Yarrowia lipolytica: one gene and its partner. The protein of the gene in region 1 binds, or shares a complex with, the protein of each later gene. Links are inferred from orthologs where the notes say so. Each region holds a gene or a part of one and is shown on either strand. Other genes may lie near its edges.

The links. Proteins that work in one complex are often made in the same cells at the same time.
Region 2: the proteins of YALI1_C00293g (region 1) and YALI1_C13355g are in contact, whole or in part, in a crystal structure (PDB 6U9D), measured with the Saccharomyces cerevisiae proteins. The link is inferred for Yarrowia lipolytica from reciprocal best matches to the Saccharomyces cerevisiae genes ILV2 and ILV6. Residues at the interface, in NP_013826.1 of Saccharomyces cerevisiae: Arg211, Lys215, Trp216, Asn217, Ile236, Pro269, Ser270, Ala272, Leu273, Pro410, Lys411, Ile413, Asn414, Lys415; in NP_009918.1 of Saccharomyces cerevisiae: Gln85, Glu87, Ser92, Arg93, Arg101, Gln134, Arg137, Gln138, Glu140, Asp141, Leu142, Val143, Pro144, Val145, Tyr146, Ala147.

What each region holds. Positions count from the first base shown.
Region 1 is NC_090772.1:27,356-31,111, reverse strand, and holds YALI1_C00293g (uncharacterized protein), read left to right. Parts: upstream 1-1,159; coding exon 1,160-1,281; intron 1,282-1,746; coding exon 1,747-3,670; downstream 3,671-3,756. UniProt on the Saccharomyces cerevisiae protein: Catalytic subunit of mitochondrial acetolactate synthase, which catalyzes the first of a series of common steps in the biosynthesis of the branched-chain amino acids.
Region 2 is NC_090772.1:1,334,298-1,336,928, reverse strand, and holds YALI1_C13355g (uncharacterized protein), read right to left. Parts: upstream 1,414-2,631; coding exon 547-1,413; downstream 1-546. UniProt on the Saccharomyces cerevisiae protein: Regulatory subunit of mitochondrial acetolactate synthase, which catalyzes the first of a series of common steps in the biosynthesis of the branched-chain amino acids.

The DNA of each region.
Region 1 (3,756 bases):
TGTTTAGGCCCATGGACATTTTTACATTTTTAGGGGTGGTTTTAAGTCTGTCACACGTTTTAGCATGTACGTGGTCAGTCATAAATCTAATCACGCCGGTATCGCTGCCGGACTTTAGCCCTACAGTGCAAGGTGACTCTTTGATGTGTGATGCGCCAACCAGTTATTTTCGCACTGTACTCGTAGCGAATGCATCAAACACTCCGCGGGTGTCGTTTCTTGGACGTGGCATGCTGGGCGGCAAGTTTCCCATGCCAAGACTCTCTTGCTCATGTATGGTGAAACGTCTCCTCTCAACCTCCAGTATCGTGGGACGTGCTTTGACCTCCCGACAACTCCCGACTTTTTTTGCAGGCCGATACAGGCCAATAGACTGTAGACGTCTGTATCTGTTAGCATACCTACTGCAGAGTAACTGTTGAGCCAATTGTTCTACTGTACAGAAACGGTAACTATGACACAAGTACGAGTATGAGCACGAGCACGAGCTCTGGTATGTATTGTGCTAGACTACGGAAAATACTCTGCGCCCTCTTTCTCTGTGCTTACGTGGATTTCTGATGGGTCGATACAGAGAAAGATGCAGCCTCTCTGACTCAGGGACGAATTCTATCTGCCCCGAACACGGTAGGTGGTGTAGGTGTAATGGTACATCTCATACAGAGCAACACCGAGCAGCCACAAAGTCACAGGTGCTCACAATATGTGCCGCGTGTGGAGCCTACCGCGTCCCTATTTCTTGCCCTCTTATTGCCCTTTGTTAAACGTCTCAAATGTGCGAGATACCTTTTCTGCTTGTGACTCTTTTTTCTCCGCAAGCACGCCGAGGATAAACTTTTGCCTTGATGCCGAGGGTTGGGTGATTCTACAAGTAGGGCGATCGGAGAATTTAGCTTGCAAGTGGCGACACAAGAGGAGACTGAGCGGATTGGAAACACGGCCCGGCGATGTGTTTTACCACGTTTAATGCTTCATTTGGAAATATGCCGATACCGCAGCGTACCTGTAAGCTCTTTCCCTAGTCCCAGTGTACACCCGCCGATATCGCTTACCCTGCAGCCGGATTAAGGTTGGCAATTTTTCACGTCCTTGTCTCCGCAATTACTCACCGGGTGGTTTATAAGATTGCAAGCGTCTTGATTTGTCTCTGTATACTAACATGCAATCGCGACTCGCCCGACGGGCCACTAACCTGGCCAGAATCTCCAGATCCAAGTATTCTCTTGGTCTGCGATATGTTTCCAACACAAAAGCCCCTGCTGCCCAGCCGGCAACTGCTGAGTGAGTATTCCTTGCCATAAACGACCCAGAACCACTGTATAGTGTTTGGAAGCACTAGTCAGAAGACCAGCGAAAACAGGTGGAAAAAACTGAGACGAAAAGCAACGACCAGAAATGTAATGTGTGGAAAAGCGACACACACAGAGCAGATAAAGAGGTGACAAATAACGACAAATGAAATATCAGTATCTTCCCACAATCACTACCTCTCAGCTGTCTGAAGGTGCGGCTGATATATCCATCCCACGTCTAACGTATGGAGTGTGATAGAATATGACGACACAAGCATGAGAACTCGCTCTCTATCCAACCACCGAAACACTGTCACTACAGCCGTTCTTGTTGCTCCATTCGCTTTTGTGATTCCATGCCTTCTCTGGTGACTGACAACATTCCTTCCTTTTCTCCAGCCCTGTTGTTATCTGCTCATGACCTACGGCCACTCTCTATCGCATACTAACATAGACGATCCCAGCCCGCTCCCCACTTCCAGGGCACCGTTGGCAAGCCTCCTATCCTCAAGAAGGCTGAGGCTGCCAACGCTGACATGGACGAGTCCTTCATCGGAATGTCTGGAGGAGAGATCTTCCACGAGATGATGCTGCGACACAACGTCGACACTGTCTTCGGTTACCCCGGTGGAGCCATTCTCCCCGTCTTTGACGCCATTCACAACTCTGAGTACTTCAACTTTGTGCTCCCTCGACACGAGCAGGGTGCCGGCCACATGGCCGAGGGCTACGCTCGAGCCTCTGGTAAGCCCGGTGTCGTTCTCGTCACCTCTGGCCCCGGTGCCACCAACGTCATCACCCCCATGCAGGACGCTCTTTCCGATGGTACCCCCATGGTTGTCTTCACCGGTCAGGTCCTGACCTCCGTTATCGGCACTGACGCCTTCCAGGAGGCCGATGTTGTCGGCATCTCCCGATCTTGCACCAAGTGGAACGTCATGGTCAAGAACGTTGCTGAGCTCCCCCGACGAATCAACGAGGCCTTTGAGATTGCTACTTCCGGCCGACCCGGTCCCGTTCTCGTCGATCTGCCCAAGGATGTTACTGCTGCCATCCTGCGAGAGCCCATCCCCACCAAGTCCACCATTCCCTCGCATTCTCTGACCAACCTCACCTCTGCCGCCGCCACCGAGTTCCAGAAGCAGGCTATCCAGCGAGCCGCCAACCTCATCAACCAGTCCAAGAAGCCCGTCCTTTACGTCGGACAGGGTATCCTTGGCTCCGAGGAGGGTCCTAAGCTGCTTAAGGAGCTGGCTGAGAAGGCCGAGATTCCCGTCACCACTACTCTGCAGGGTCTTGGTGCCTTTGACGAGCGAGACCCCAAGTCTCTGCACATGCTCGGTATGCACGGTTCCGGCTACGCCAACATGGCCATGCAGAACGCTGACTGTATCATTGCTCTCGGCGCCCGATTTGATGACCGAGTTACCGGCTCCATCCCCAAGTTTGCCCCCGAGGCTCGAGCCGCTGCCCTTGAGGGTCGAGGTGGTATTGTTCACTTTGAGATCCAGGCCAAGAACATCAACAAGGTTGTTCAGGCCACCGAAGCCGTTGAGGGAGACGTTACCGAGTCTGTCCGACAGCTCATCCCCCTCATCAACAAGGTCTCTGCCGCTGAGCGAGCTCCCTGGACTGAGACTATCCAGTCCTGGAAGCAGCAGTTCCCCTTCCTCTTCGAGGCTGAAGGTGAGGATGGTGTTATCAAGCCCCAGTCCGTCATTGCTCTGCTCTCTGACCTGACAGAGAACAACAAGGACAAGACCATCATCACCACCGGTGTTGGTCAGCATCAGATGTGGACTGCCCAGCATTTCCGATGGCGACACCCTCGAACCATGATCACTTCTGGTGGTCTTGGAACTATGGGTTACGGCCTGCCCGCCGCTATCGGCGCCAAGGTTGCCCGACCTGACTGCGACGTCATTGACATCGATGGTGACGCTTCTTTCAACATGACTCTGACCGAGCTGTCCACCGCCGTTCAGTTCAACATTGGCGTCAAGGCTATTGTCCTCAACAACGAGGAACAGGGTATGGTCACCCAGTGGCAGTCTCTCTTCTACGAGAACCGATACTGCCACACTCATCAGAAGAACCCCGACTTCATGAAGCTGGCCGAGTCCATGGGCATGAAGGGTATCCGAATCACTCACATTGACCAGCTGGAGGCCGGTCTCAAGGAGATGCTCGCATACAAGGGCCCTGTGCTCGTTGAGGTTGTTGTCGACAAGAAGATCCCCGTTCTTCCCATGGTTCCCGCTGGTAAGGCTTTGCATGAGTTCCTTGTCTACGACGCTGACGCCGAGGCTGCTTCTCGACCCGATCGACTGAAGAATGCCCCCGCCCCTCACGTCCACCAGACCACCTTTGAGAACTAAGTGGAAAGGAACACAAGCAATCCGAACCAAAAATAATTGGGGTCCCGTGCCCACAGAGTCTAGTGCAGACCTAAAATGACCACAGT
Region 2 (2,631 bases), about 1.3 Mb from region 1:
TCCGAAAGCTCAGTCTTCAATTGATAAAATAATATGATTTCTGAGTTCCTGGGAGCTGGGAAACTTATGAAGGCGGGATGGAGTGGCAATTGGGGTCTATATAATGACGAGTGGTGAGATATCTACAAAATGTTCGTTTTTCTCTTCTGAAATTTCTTGGCTGGAACTCTTGTCCTTTATTTTTAATAAAATCATAAAAATATAAATAATAACTAAATAAAACACGGGAAAAAAAAAAAAACATAATCAAACTTTTTGAAAAGTATTAACTAAATAAATATAAAAATAAAAATAAAAATAAAAATAAAAAACACGGCATTAAAAATAACGAGTCAATTTTTTTAAAAAAACACCTCTTCTCTAATACAAGTACAAATAGTCTGAGTGCTGGTAAAGTACTCATATTTGACACTCAAAGTGTCTCTTTTCGTCTTCACGGCCTGGCTCAACAACTTCCTACTGCTCCCTACATTTCGCACCACGTCAACTCCTGCTAATGCTATATTACTACATCCGTTATTCAATTTTGGGGTCCTCAACCACCGTCTAACCAGGAGGCAGAGAGGTCTGGTCAACCACCTCCTCGGCCTTCTTGATGTCCTCCTCATCGGGGGTCTCAAGAGGAGTTCGGGGCAGGGCCATCATTCCGGATCGGGCCACCTCAAGAATACCAAAGGGCTTGAGAAGGTGCAGGAAGGAGGAGACTCGCTCGGGCTTGGCCGAGAGCTCGACAATGACGTTTCGCTCAGAAATGTCGAGAATCTTGCCGCCAAACTGGTGGGCCAGCTTGGTCACGGCGTCCAGGTACTGGTGCTTGTGTCGCAGAGCCTCGGAGGCGGCAATGTTGTTGGGGTGGAAGTCGTTCTGCAGCACGGCGTCCTCAAACTCGTGGCCGTGGTGGGTCAGCAGATCCTGGAAGTACTCGGGGCCCAGAATCGACACTCGGGCCAGCAGCAGCTCTCGCTTGATGATCGAGGCGTTGGAGTAGTCCAGCACTGCCCACACGGGCACCAGATCCTCAATCTGTCGTCGCGCCTGCTCGATCACGGCATCCTGGCCTCGCAGAACAATGGTCATTCGCGACAGATCGGCAACCTCCGTGTTGCACACTACCAGCGAATCAATGTTGAAGCCTCGAGACGCCAGAGTGCCGGCAACTCGCGACAGAACACCGGGTTCGTTCTGAACCAGACAGTTGAACACGTGTGCCTTGATGGGCGCCTTGGACGGCATCGGGGTCTCGTACAGAATGGAAGAAACCGCCGTGTTGGCGTTCCATGCTGGAGTCTCGATAACGGGCAGCTTGGGCTGCGATCGGTTTCGGTGGAGCGTCTTGTACGCCAGGGCACTGATGGACGAGTGCCGAGCGCCCTTGGGGGTCAGCACGGGACCCACAAATCGTTTTCCAAGCATGTTGTGGGGAGAAGAAGATGCGGTAGGAGGAAAGGAAGTTGTTTTTAAGGTGGTGGTGTAGGTAGAGTCATAACTTTATTTTGTGAGGAGAAGGAACCAGTGAACAAGCCTGGGTGGTCACCACAGCAGAAATGATGGCCGTTACAGAGCACGGGTGGTCACCACACGTCGGCCGTGGGCCCCATCACACAATCCATATCTTCACCTTTCGGCCAAGTATATTAACTCATAACCTGATCCGATTGGTCGGATGGCACGACAAAAACCATGCATCACCAACAACAATAAACAGGTCATGCCATTACTCCATTTGTGTGGCATCACATGACATCGATCTTGTCGTGCCACTACTCTTGTCGTCCCATTACATTGCTCTTGTCGTCCCATTACATTGCTCTTGTCGGTCGTCCCATTACATCACTCGTGTAACCCATTACTGTACACATGTCCTCCCCCGGCTATCGGGACCCATTATCTGCATTGCACTCCAGCCAATTACTCCTGTCCCGATATCGGTGTAGCAGCGGTAAAAATACGTGTAACTAGGTCCACAGAAACGTCACCGAGAATCAAAGTAGTTCATTTTTGTCGGAGTCGTTGAAATACCATCCTCTCGAAATTTCAATCCGGCTTTCCGAAAACTCCAACAAAGATCAACTCTTCCGATATCGGCATGACTTTTGATATAAAAGTAAATTAAAAATTAAATTGAAAAAATTGAAAATTGAAAATCAAAACCAAAATCAAAATCAAAATCAAAATTGAAAATTGAAAATTGAAAATTGAAAATCAAAAAGGTAGATAAGTATTCAAAAATAACAAAAAAAATAACCAAAAATAACAAAAAAGGCACACAAAAACTCACCCAAATATAAACCATTTCCACCATTGCCGGCGTCAAATCCCGACACTTCTTGCCCCAGGCAACCGACTTCGTCATGCACCTGTCCGTTATCGCAGGATAGAAGACAATATTGGATGATAGAACGGGTTGTAGTGAGTCGGTTTCTAATATTAAAACGATGTTGCCACCTATGGTACTACGGATACAATCTGGTGCTTGTAAATCGCCAATCGGGGCATTCTTCGATCATCTTGATACCAACCGTTATCGGTGCAAGAATTTTTTATTTTTTTTTATGAGCCGATTTTTGCCGAGTCAGCTAGAGTTACTTGATGTGAATAAACTGGAGAAAATAATGTCAACAAAACCCAACT